3 linked regions of the Drosophila melanogaster genome follow. The gene in region 2 interacts genetically with the main gene of each other region. Each region holds a gene or a part of one and is shown on either strand. Other genes may lie near its edges.

Evidence for each region. A genetic interaction does not mean that the proteins touch.
Region 1: of Prosbeta6 (region 2) and not, changing one enhances a phenotype caused by changing the other (phenotypic enhancement), as found in Drosophila melanogaster (one study listed by BioGRID).
Region 3: of Prosbeta6 (region 2) and Tpi, changing one suppresses a phenotype caused by changing the other (phenotypic suppression), as found in Drosophila melanogaster (one study listed by BioGRID).

Annotation. Positions count from the first base shown.
Region 1 is NT_037436.4:18,618,279-18,623,942, reverse strand, and holds not (non-stop), read left to right. Parts: upstream 1-1,813; 5' UTR 1,814-1,830; coding exon 1,831-2,571; intron 2,572-3,110; coding exon 3,111-3,512; intron 3,513-3,573; coding exon 3,574-3,684; intron 3,685-3,751; coding exon 3,752-4,566; intron 4,567-4,735; coding exon 4,736-4,778; 3' UTR 4,779-5,137; downstream 5,138-5,664. Other genes in the region: bora (aurora borealis), read right to left, coding at 1-820, 879-1,156. UniProt on the Drosophila melanogaster protein: Histone deubiquitinating component of the transcription regulatory histone acetylation (HAT) complex SAGA. Catalyzes the deubiquitination of histone H2B, thereby acting as a coactivator in a large subset of genes.
Region 2 is NT_037436.4:16,608,851-16,612,087, reverse strand, and holds Prosbeta6 (proteasome beta6 subunit), read left to right. Parts: upstream 1-1,669; 5' UTR 1,670-1,769; coding exon 1,770-1,858; intron 1,859-1,933; coding exon 1,934-2,552; 3' UTR 2,553-2,688; downstream 2,689-3,237. Other genes in the region: Su(P) (suppressor of ref(2)P sterility), read left to right, coding at 1-725, 790-1,196, 1,259-1,350; CG4098 (uncharacterized protein), read left to right, coding at 2,881-3,237. UniProt on the Drosophila melanogaster protein: Non-catalytic component of the proteasome, a multicatalytic proteinase complex which is characterized by its ability to cleave peptides with Arg, Phe, Tyr, Leu, and Glu adjacent to the leaving group at neutral or slightly basic pH.
Region 3 is NT_033777.3:30,132,454-30,136,319, forward strand, and holds Tpi (triose phosphate isomerase), read right to left. Parts: upstream 2,147-3,866; 5' UTR 2,081-2,146; coding exon 1,826-2,080; exon of another isoform or gene 1,642-1,825; coding exon 1,057-1,641; intron 996-1,056; coding exon 789-995; 3' UTR 528-788; downstream 1-527. Other genes in the region: AdoR (adenosine receptor), read right to left, coding at 2,822-3,866.

The DNA of each region.
Region 1 (5,664 bases), 2.0 Mb from region 2:
TGGCGTGAACTTCAATGCCGTGCGCTCTGACAACGTGTCGTGCTGCTCCGTAACGCTGATCTCTACCTTGGAGTGCACCAATCTCCGACTGAGATGCTCCGACGGGGCAATGGGCGACGGCAGCTCCAGCTCGTGCATTAGAAGTTTCCTCTTTCCCGAGCAAGTACCATTATCGGGCGTGCCAGGCGGCAGTCCGCATAGGTTTCTAATGGGTGAAAGGCAGCCGAAGCTACTTTCCCCGGATGCGGAATCCGACAGTCTGCCAGCGAACATTGTTTGCTTGCCCTGCGGACTGGAGCCCACCATGGACCTCGATGGCTCTGCCGTGTCCTGTTCGCCCAAAACAATGACATTGTGCAGATCGAAGAGTTTCCGGCGCATGGAACTATTAAAGATGTCGGGACCACCACTTGACTTGCTCCTGCCAGACAAGCGGCCAGCCAAATGTGGCTGGAAGTACGGACGCAGGGCATCCTCTAGGGCTTTTGGCAATATCGGCGGCAAAGTAAGTTCCGTTTGCACCTCGCAATCCCGCATCCTTCGCGACTTATTCGATATGGGAGTGTTGTCCTCGCTGCAATTGAGTATTATGCGCTGTTTTCGCAATGGGCAATCCACCGGACTGGGCACAATGAGTGACTCCTTGAAAAAGGCACTGATGGCCAACTGGGCCTTGGATTCCTGCTCGGGATCGGGGGAATCGTGGAACTGGGTTTCATGGGGCTCCACGTCGGCGGGTTTTAGTTGGGAGACCTCGTCAATGTTCCACTCGAACTGGGTGGACGAGAGTTGGGGTGTCCGCGAGCGGAAAAGTGAGGGGCTGCCAGGAAAAGAGAGGGTCGCGTTAAGAGGATTTTTCGAGCAGACGAAAAACTCACCTGGCGATCAGTGGCAGGTGTAAACGATCGGCCATCGCTCCTTCGAAGGGATTCCGCACCTTGTGCAGCCTTTTCGGGGGCGGGGTGCACACATTTCCCGACATCTGGGGGCTGTATTTTCCATTTTCTTTGCCGCCATTCGTTGGCGTTGCCGACGCCGCCGACGAGTTGCTGCTGTTCGAGTGGCTGTTACGGCGCGCCCGGCACTTCAATCCGTTCACATTTGTAATGTATCGATTCTTGAGGGCTTGCGGCGTTCGCACCTCGTCGTTGTACATCTTTTTCAGTCACTAAGTCGCCTAATTTCGACTTAAAATAAAACAAGCGCGCCTGCTGCGACTCGCAGGCAGATGTCGGTATTTTCAAATGCAGCAGTGTTGTATAGCGATGCAGCGGAGTTATCGAATCGTTGGCAATTCGAAAAGCAGAATGCGAAAGTGAGGGATGTTCAAGGAAAAAAAGGTGCTAACGACTGATTTGTCACTTAATATTTATTTATTCGCATATCTAAAAGTGCCTGCAAATTATTTCGACTCCCGTCTAACTTTTAGTATTTTTATTTTGCGCGCCACCCGCTGCTTGCTGTCGATAACACATCAGCTGGGCGACTTTAACCGTTTTATAATAAAATGGGACCAGTCTAAAAATAAAGAATGGTTACTGGTATACAAAATTGTATCCCATTATAAACTTGAGGAATAAGTAGCTCGTAATTATCCGAATATGGATGCATTTCAATATTTGGGCTGCTAGAACCTTTTATTGTTCCTATAACCCGAATAGAGATTCCATTTCAATATAACTTTATCTTGAATGGTTTAGTTTACTTTCTATTTAAACTAATATTCCGTTTTAAATGTTTCAATACTCTTATATTAGAAAAATACCAATGCCAACATCTGAGTACGATTTCGCAACTGGTCACACTGACAGCTGTCTTCTACCAACACATATGCGCGCGTGTGTATGTGTTTGCGTGCAGTGCGAAATAGAAACAAGAAAAGCAAGCGAAAAATCACAGAAATTCACAAAAAAAAAGCCCAACTACTTCCAAAATTGGGCCGCCCGGCGAAGAACCGCAAAAGTGGCCAAAATTCGGCGAAAACAGCGCAAGTGTGACAAAGCATTCGTGCCGCTGCAGTCGTCGGCGAAACGGGCGAAAACAAAAGAGAATAGTGTTGATAGTAATACGAGCGTATTTAGCAGTAGCAGCAGCAGCAGCAGTGGCCGAAGCTTCGGCAGGGGAACGGAACGGTGGGCGGTGGGTGCAGAAGCGGGCCGGGGAACGGCCGAGAACGAAACACTAGCAGTAGCAGCAGCAGCAGCGACAACAACAAATGCCGGTCGCTTTATCACCGCCGATCTAATCAAAACAGTTAACAGCGACAAGCAGCGAGACAGAGTAGCAAAGGGCCACAGGGACGCGAAAAACCCCCTAGATGCCACCAAACATTTGCGCCTATCGGACTGCTTGCGTACCGTGCAAAAACTTGCTATTGAACTTGAGAGCGCCGACGCCGGCAGCGACGCCAGCGCCCAAGCCAACGCTAGCGCCGACGCCAGCAGCGCCGTCATGTCCGAGACGGGTTGTCGGCACTATCAAAGCTATGTGAAGGAGCACAGCTACGATACATTCCGGGTCATCGACGCCTACTTCGCTGCTTGCGTCAACAGAGATGCGCGCGAGCGAAAGGTGAGTTCAGTAGCGTGGAAGAGAGTGGGAGCTAGAATGAGTGCGCTACTGGCGTGGTGAGGTGAGAATGTGCGAGTGTGCGAAGGGGAGAACGCAATTACAATCAGAGGTGCGCCGTGAGTCACGTGAAAGGTCACTGACACCCCGGCTGTGGGATGACAGTGGCAGACAACGCACCGTTCTCACCACAAAGCAGTGCGGACTTTTTTGAATGGGTAAAGCATGCAACAGCTGTTTTAACAGCTGACAAATTGGCACTGTGAAAAATACTTTTGCATCGAAAAAGTTTTGTTTTCATTACGGTGAAATTACATATCAAGAAAAATATATTCAAAATATTTAATATTGTTACATGGCTTTTGTATTTTTAGCTTCATATTGATTATATATTATATTGCTTACGAGATTTAGAGTTTTCAAATTTTTGTTACACTTTTATGCATTTAGTATGGGACGTATTTTTTGTAAAGTTAATGGGATTAGAAAAAAAACGAATATAATTTTTTATCAGCTGCCATTTTAAAATCTACCTCCGCCAGGCTATTCACTGCAACTGCTTCGAGTGCGGCAGCTACGGCATCCAGTTGTACGCTTGCCTGCACTGCATCTACTTCGGATGTCGGGGGGCCCACATCACGAGTCACCTGCGATCCAAGAAGCACAATGTGGCCCTGGAGCTGTCCCACGGAACGCTCTACTGCTACGCCTGCAGAGATTTCATCTACGACGCGCGGAGTCGCGAGTATGCGCTGATCAACCGCAAGCTGGAGGCGAAGGATCTGCAGAAGAGCATCGGCTGGGTGCCGTGGGTTCCCACAACCAAGGAGACCAATCTGCTGCTGGCCAATGCGAGGCGTCGGCTGGTGAGGCCCAATCAAACGATCGGACTGAGGGGTCTGCTTAATCTGGGCGCCACTTGCTTCATGAACTGCATCGTCCAGGTGGGCAAATCCAATTAAACTGGCGAGTCTCCTCTCACTGACTTACTCCTGTCTCCTCTAGGCTCTGGTTCACACGCCCCTGCTCAGCGATTACTTTATGTCAGATCGTCACGACTGCGGCAGCAAGTCATCGCACAAATGTCTCGTTTGTGAAGTGTCACGTCTCTTCCAGGTGAGTTCAATATGCTGTGGTGTTTATGAGGAGTCTTTTCTATTCGATATGCTATCCCCCTTTGTAGGAGTTCTATTCCGGCTCCCGTTCGCCGCTGTCGCTGCACCGGCTACTGCATTTAATCTGGAACCATGCGAAGCACTTGGCCGGCTACGAGCAGCAGGATGCGCACGAGTTCTTCATCGCCACTCTGGACGTGCTGCATCGGCACTGCGTGAAGGCAAAGGCGGAGCACGAAAGCAAGAGCAACAGCTCTGGCTCGGGAAGTGGAACCAATTCCAGCAACTCGAGCAGCTCGCATTGCTACGGCCAGTGTAATTGCATCATTGACCAGATCTTCACGGGCATGCTGCAGAGCGATGTGGTGTGCCAGGCCTGCAACGGAGTGTCCACCACGTACGATCCGTTTTGGGACATTTCGCTGGACCTGGGCGAAACAACAACGCATGGTGGTGTTACTCCAAAAACGCTGATAGACTGCCTGGAGCGGTACACTCGGGCCGAGCATCTCGGATCGGCGGCCAAAATCAAGTGCTCTACCTGCAAATCCTACCAGGAGTCCACCAAACAGTTCAGCCTGCGCACTCTGCCCAGCGTGGTGTCGTTCCATTTGAAACGCTTCGAGCACTCAGCTCTGATCGATCGCAAGATCTCCTCGTTCATTCAATTCCCCGTGGAGTTCGACATGACGCCCTTTATGTCGGAGAAGAAGAACGCCTACGGCGACTTCCGGTTCTCTCTGTACGCCGTGGTCAATCATGTGGGCACCATCGACACCGGCCACTATACGGCGTATGTGCGGCACCAGAAGGACACGTGGGTCAAGTGCGATGATCATGTGATAACGATGGCATCGCTCAAGCAGGTGCTGGACAGCGAGGGGTAAGAATGACCAATATATTACAACTTTATCACCGCAAAAGCAGCATTCAATGTTAACTTACTTAAGTTGATTTCACGTCTTATCTTAAATTCATATACAACGTTATTTAGCTTTTTATTCGGATTATCAAATCATTATTAACTAACTACTTATTTTCACTTCTTTCAGTTATTTATTGTTCTACCATAAAAATGTGCTGGAATACGAGTAAGAAAATCCGCTGAGATCGATTAAAGCAGCGACTGCATCCCTCAAAAAACAAAAGCAGAAAACAGAAGTCAATGCATTACGAATTACGAATAAACACAAAATACAGACAAGGACGCGGCAGCGCTTACATATTAAGTAATATTAACACAAACACGAAAGCAATCCTACAATTTGAGGAGTGTTCATTTGATTCGATTGGGGTTATTCAAGCTCACAAACTCAAAACATTGGAACGAACAATGGAGAACAAAAAAAAAGGAAATTAATGAAAATGTAATCAATCTGAACACTCGATTTGTGGAGATACCCGTTTTGCTCTAAGTATTTCAAATCCATAATACTAAAAACAAAATCAAAAACAACAAGCAGATGACTTATACATTTATATTTAAAAATCAAACAAGGGATATTCTACAAACGCCGTATTACAAATGGAAAGCGAATTTTTATCATTTTTCTTGAAATGCCTTTTATTGAAAAAAAAAATGTTAAAAACTCATTTTCAGACACATCCGTTATAACTGAACCAAAATCCAAATCATGCTTATGAATGTCATGGATTTTTTTTATTTCGTCTTCATTTAAATAAGGAGAGCAATAATTGTAAATTTAAATACTTACATTTTTGGGGGCTTAGGAAACTGGGATTAAGATACATTGCAATTATTTAAAAAACAAAAAAAAATTACAACCGACGTCAACTTGGGCTCGTCCGGGAATTGAACCCGGGACCTCTCGCACCCGAAGCGAGAATCATACCTCTAGACCAACGAGCCTGCGGTACTGGGAGCGATCAGAATGACGCTTTTTAATGTGCGAGCCCTCTCACTCCATCGCTCTGCCTTGTGCTATGAGCAGGCTAAAAAGAGACAACTATAGTGTGCGCT
Region 2 (3,237 bases):
GTTCTGGCAGGGGTCCGTCCCCCGCCGGCAGCAAGCGGAGGTGGAGCCTTGCGCCTGTTGACTAAACGGAATCCGGATGCTGCATTCGCACGCCGCCAGTTTGCTGTAGCGGTTGAAAACGGCGGAGGCAGAAAGAAGCCGAATGGAACTTTCAAGCTCGCAGTTTTGGGGGCCACCGTAGGCGCGGCCACCGGATCGGTGTATACGATGTACCAGCGGTGGACAGACGGCAGCTCGCACAAAGAGCACGAGGAGACGAAGCCGACGCGGCTGGACGGGATTCCGGCTGGAGTGCGGATAACCAAGCGCTATGTCAACCCCAAGGACACGTCCGGTTTGGACATTGTGCTGTTCCAGTTCCAGACGTGTCCCTTCTGTTGCAAGGTGCGCGCTTTCCTCGACTACATGGGCATATCCTATGCGGTGGTCGAAGTGGATGCCGTCCTACGGCAGGACATCCGCTGGTCGTCGGTGAAGAAGGTGCCGATGGTGCTCATCCGACAGCAGGACGGCAAATACGTCCAGATGGTGGACTCAAGTGCCATCATATCCCTTATAGCCACCCACCTGCAGGACAAGCGCACCGACATCGGCGAGCTGGCACAGTTCTATCCGCACACCTCCTTCTTCGACGATGATGGCAAAAAGAAGAACGACATATTGAATAAATACTTCCTCATGTACCGCGAGCATACGCCCAAGGGAGTATCCAAGGAAACGGATGAGTAAGTTAACCAGGGTCAAGTAATCTTTTAATCAAATCTTTTAACCTTGAGTGTCTGTTCTTAGAACCGATCGCAAGTGGAGAAGCTGGGCCGACAGCCACTTGGTGCATCTAATATCGCCCAACTGTTATCAGACCATGGGCGAGTCCCTAGAGACTTTTGAGTGGTTCTCGCAAGCTGGCGAGTGGGACGTTCACTTCCCCAAATGGGAGCGCGACCTGATGGTTTACTGTGGTGCCACCGCCATGTGGGCCATAGCCAAGATGCTGAAGCGCCGTCACGCCCTCAGCGACGACGTCAGGTCGCACATGTACGATGCCCTTGACCAGTGGACCACTGAGCTGAAAAAGAGGAACACGAAATTCATGGGCGGAAAACAGCCAAGTCTGGCTGATCTATCGGTTTTCGGCGTGCTTTCAAGCATGGAGGGGTGTCAGACGTTCAAGGATTGTCTGCAAAACACCAGCATCGGTAAATAAGGTTTCTTTCTCGGGTTTTGTACCTTTTTACGAACTTTTTACATATTTCCGCAGGTAAATGGTTTTATGACGTCAAGGCGTTGGTGGAGAAGAATCGTGGGCAGTTGCAAAGAGAACGTATTGAAAACATGGCCGCTATAGCTTAAAACAAATATTTGCCCTTATTTTATCCAAAGATTGTTGAAAATAACCGAAATGTTCATTAAAATATACATTTTAATCAAATCTAGTTTGCCGTTTCGTTTATGGTATCTGAATGTATATATTTGGTCAAAAACGCGTAAGGAGTGCAAGTTTATGGTACAAATTGGAATTAATTTTAGGTTTTATATTGTTATTTTATTTATATGTTAAATTAAAAATGTTTACTAAATAAATACCTCCTGCTAATAAAAATATCCCAAACCGACGTATGTATACCTATCGATAACGTTTAAGCAGGCTGGATCCGATGCTCAACAACGGTCACATTGATTTTGTGATTTTGGTTAGCCGCTTGCAAACTTGCAAATCATTTCGTTGGTTTTTTACTTGGCGAGTTAATTGGTGAATTTCAGCACAAAACATGAGCAGATTGGGCTTTGAGCAATTCCCGGACTACCAGGTGCCCGGCATGAAGCATCCTGATTTCTCGCCCTACGAGTCCAATGGCGGGTGAGTTGCTATTTCCCAGCGGAATCGAGATGTGGAAGAATGTCTCCATCTAACCGGAGTCTTCCCTGTTTACAGCTCCATTGTGGCCATCGCCGGAGATGACTTTGCCGTAATTGCAGCGGACACCCGCCTGAGCAGCGGCTACAACATTCACTCGCGAACGCAGAGTAAACTCTTTAAACTCTCGCCCCAGACAGTGTTGGGTTCCGCAGGCTGCTGGGCGGACACGCTCTCGTTGACCGGATCGATTAAGGTGCGCATGCAGAGCTACGAGCATACCCATCTGCGCACCATGACCACTGAGGCCGTGGCCCAGATGCTCTCCATCGCCATGTACAATCGCCGCTTCTTCCCGTACTACGTGTCGAACATTCTGGCTGGAATTGACAACGAGGGCAAGGGCGTCGTCTACTCCTACGATCCCATCGGTCACTGCGAGAAGGCTACATACCGCGCCGGCGGCACTGCCGGCACCCTGCTGCAACCGGTGCTGGACAACCAGATTGGTCACAAGAACATGAATTTGGAAGACGCCGACAAGATCAAGTTAACCAAGGAGCGGGCCGTGAGCGTTGCCTCCGACACCTTCATCTCTGCCGCTGAGCGCGACATCTACACCGGCGACTCTGTGCTGATCAACATCATAACCAAAGATGGAATTGAAGTACGAACTCTGACGCTGCGTCAGGACTAGCCTGTGGCGAGGATGTTGCCGTTTCTTTTGGTTAGGGGCATTCGGTGGAAACCAGGCATTCTAAGTTAGTTGGCTTCAAATTTTTGTATTTACCCAAAACAACAAAACATCGTAATAAACCGAATCTTTGAGATTTAAAATATGCGGCCTAGTGTGACCAGCTGGTCCTAGAAATAAATCGTTCCCAAGCAGTGCTCACAGAAGAGGCTGTGCGAATAGTACAGCTTTCCCCGTACCAACAAATCCATTTTGCTAGCTAAGTTTGTGCCCGCTGGTGTGCGTTAACAAAATCATTTCTTAGTGTTCGTCTCTCAGAGAATTCAGTCCAATGACGAGTTTCGAGTTTGCACTGCTGCCGCTTCTGTTTTTGCCACTGATCCTGGAAAACCCGCTAACCTCCGCCCAAATGATGTCATCGCTGGTGAAGCCGGGCATTTTCCGGCACCTAATGTGCCGCAACAACATGTATCCGCGCAGCTCAGTCCTCCGGTACCCAGTTTCCGACGAACAGGTCTTCTGGTCGGAGCCGTTCCCGGACTACTGCCCGCCTGCGTACACGGCGCCACATATTGGCGGGCAGGTGTGGGCTGATCCGCCGTTGCCCAGCGACACATTCTGGCCACAGTGGAATCAGCTGGATGGACAGGTAAACCGCGAATCCTTTCACGGTGCCTACAACGTGCAG
Region 3 (3,866 bases), on a different chromosome or scaffold from region 2:
AAAAACTGAATAATATTTTGTTGATTTACTAACCATAAATTACTTACTAAGCTAAATAACTTATCAGCTACAAAGAAATTGCCTTGTTTAGCTCCATATTTGCCAAACTTTGTGCACAATCTTCGAACACTTCGATTAGAAATGAACTCTGAGTATAAGTATAAAGTATAATAAGTACAAACTGTTTTCCTTTCTTATCTCAAGTTAAGCTATCTTATGATGCATTGCTTCTTCTTGAAGGCTTTTATGCAAGATATTGTCAAAAACATGATGCAAATGATTTGATTCACTTGTTAGGTAAGTGAATACAATGATTGCCTCGATTACTCAGTTGGAACTCATATTCCAAATATTTGCCATTTCGCATGCTTATCAGAAATTAAGTAATAACTTGTTCGGTTTAAGGTCCGCAGAGGTGACACATATATGTACATATGTGCACACAACTTTGGACACCTTGTCGTTCAACCAATCGCTCTAAAAATAGCTGAAATAGTCTTGCAAAAAATAAGACACCTGTTTGGTTTGGTATATAAGTAAATGAGTAGCGCATAATTATTGCCTGAATAATTTAAGATTTACACAATGGACTACTATACGTTCAACAACAAGGATGTGAGTAGCATTCTCGCAAGGTAACTATGAATTTGGAACTGCACTTGGTGGTGACAACAACTAGGTGTGTGCGTAATGCATTCGCGCGCAGGAGTATGGAGTCCTGCCCTCCAGTGCCTCCTTCGCGGGCAGTTCGCTGGCCGAAAGCGATCTGATGCTTGAGATCGCGTTGCTTACTGCCGGGCGTTGATGATGTCCACGAACTCGGGCTTCAGGGAGGCGCCTCCGACCAGGAAGCCATCTATGTCGGGCTTCTTGGCCAGCTCCTTGGCGTTGGCGGCGGTCACGGATCCACCGTACTGGATGCGCAGGCTGGCGGACACCTCCTTGGAGATGTTGTCGCTCAGCCACTGGCGCAGGAAGGCGTGGACCTCTTGAGCCTGCAATTGGGAAGGGAAAATATCAGTTCTGGAAGAGATTAGCCTCTGCGGGCGACCTTACCTGATCGGGTGTGGCGGTCTGGCCGGTGCCAATGGCCCAGACGGGCTCGTAGGCCACCACCACGTTCTTCCAGTCCTTGATCTTCTGGGCGTAGGCGCACATTTGGCGGGCCACCACCTCGTTGGTCTTGCCGGCCTCGCGCTCCTCCAGGGTCTCACCAATGCAGGCGATGACCTTGAGGCCCTCGGCCAGGGCGTGCTCGGCCTTCTCGGCGATCAGGGCGTCCGATTCGCCGAAGATGGCGCGACGCTCCGAGTGTCCCAGGATCACCCAGTCGGCGCCGATGTCCTTCAGCATCGCAGGGGAGATCTCGCCGGTGAATGCGCCCTTGGCCACCTTGTAGGCATTCTGGCCGGCCAGACCCAGCTCGCAGGGCAGCAGGTTGCGGGCGTACATCAGGTAGATGGCCGGGCAGCCGATGACCACCTCCGTGTTGGGGTCGAGGGCGGCCGAGCTCAGGGTCTTGGCGATCTCGGCGATGGACTTCTGGTCGCCGTTCATCTTCCAGTTGCCTCCCACGCAGAACTTTCGGCTCATGTTGTTGCTGTTGCTGTCGGTGCAATCGGTGCTGAAATTGGCGTAGAACTGCGGATCGGGGGACAAAACAAGGGGACTGCTATTAGAGTGTTTGGAACTGATAATTTCAAGTGGGTAACTCGATGACTGGAGGCTCGCCGTCGACTTTTCCACTCAGATTTTTCCCAGATTCGAGATTAATCCCGGCACAGAGCACACACCCACCTCGAAGTTCGTCTGCTTATGTACTAACCTTCTTTTGACCTTCGTAAGTCTTCCACTGGCACTTGAAAAGCTTTGGGAAAACAGCTGTGAATTTGCCCAGCAGAGCTTCCGAAACGACGGCTTTTAGTACCTCCGCCGTAACACCACCCACAGTGGGTCGGTTCTGGTCCATGGTGGGGATGGTGTGGTGGTTCCGATGATACGGGAATCGCTGGAGAAGCGTTACTGATGCAATGCACTGGATACCGTTCCTGTTCAGATCATTGAGTACTCCAGGCGGCATTTCTATTGTGGTTACAATAGTAAGTAAGGAGTAGTAAAAGTTATTCTGAAATTATATAAACGGCTTGTTGGGGTTTTAAAAATGTTGCCGGTTTTAGATTTAGCAGTGACTCCAACCATCTGATGGGGAACTTTGAGCAAGTGAGCTCCAATAGTTTTGGCGTCGCTTCCAAAAAGCTCTGGAAAAGCTTTTATCAACAGGCTTGCCAAAATCCGCTATACTAGCATATGTAAAAGAAAAACTTGTATACCCTACCAATAGGCATACATCGCATCAGGACTTATTTAACCAACAAAAATAAAACACAACATGAATGTACATTCTGGTTTAATCGCTTTATTTAACTTCAACTTTGAAATTCATGTCGCATGGCTTAACTTGGTTTTCACAGACGTTCAGGTATACATAAGCTGACATATACACAGTAAATACTCTAACAACATTAAACATATGTATGTACATAATTAACTAGTCCGTAGAAACGTATTATGACCATACACTCAAAATAAATGCGCATAGCTCCTAATCTCTATATTTCACTACCGAACTAATTGATTTAGATCCGATATAGAATTTGACAACGTTTCCGAAAGAGAGCCTAAGAGAGCTGGAAAGTACTTAACGTAAAAGCTTTGACTTGCGAGTATTTCCTCAGGGGTCACCCCTTACCCCTTTCGCATCCTTGTGATCCTCTTCCAGTGGACTTTCCTGCTGATCCCGCTTCTTTTCCGACCGCGAAGGTCAACTCTCCGCGCTGGTCGCCAGAAGGGACGGCGAGGAGGTGGTCAGACCCACTGGAACCGATTCCTCCTGAGCCTGGCCCATGGGCGGTGGTGATGGAGTGGGCGTGGAGGCCGTGGACGACGCCGTCGATGAGGTGGGACGGGCGGCGTGAGGCTGGAGGAAGTGAAACAAGTTGGAATGCTGCATGAAACTGCCCACCGATCTCAGCGGACTAAAAAAGTTCTCTGTGGGATGGTTGGCTGGCTGCGGATGCTGTGGAAGTACAGAGGACTCCTGATCCCTGCAGAGATTACTGCTGGGCTCGTCGTGGACCCCTCGTCCCTTAGCGATGGAGCTACAGTTGCAGGATCGGCTCTTCTTCAGCGAACTCCGAGTGAATGCCGTGCCCTTTCGATACTTAGGCTTGTGCCCATTTGAGCCGGGACTCGCCTCACTATCGATCACAAAGATACCGGATTGCTCCTGGGGAGCAGGACTCGCCGTGGATCCTGGCAGGCAGTGAGCGCTATTGGAGTTGCCAGCAAGCAGTTTGGCCCTCAGAAGAGCCGGAAGTGGGCCATTTGTGGGAGATGTTTGAGTGGAGAGCGGTCTCTCCCTGGACTGTTCATCTATGGGAAGATCCTGATTGTTGCCCATTGGCCTGGAGTCCGTGTCATCCGATCGCAATTTCTCCCTCATGACCAAAGCCAGGGAGCGACGCAGTTCCACGGGATCTATGCCAGGCTGAACGGGATTTGGAACAGAGCTGGCCGGCACGAATACGTCCTCAAACTCCAGATCATCATCATCTTCGTCCTCATCCTGGCTGAAACTGTAGTTGTGGTTGTCATAGGAGGCGGACGGAACTGAGGGCTTCGCAGGAGCAGGAGGAGCTGGTGGGACTGTGGAACTGCTATTTCGTTCACTGCTGCGCTGGGAACCCGGAGCGGGGGAAGGGAACTCGTAGCTGGTTTCACCCAGCTCGGCGCCACTGGAGGCCTCCACTATGTTCCACATTTCTCGCTCGAGATCTGTGGTCACCGAAGCCACGGCGGCCACCGTT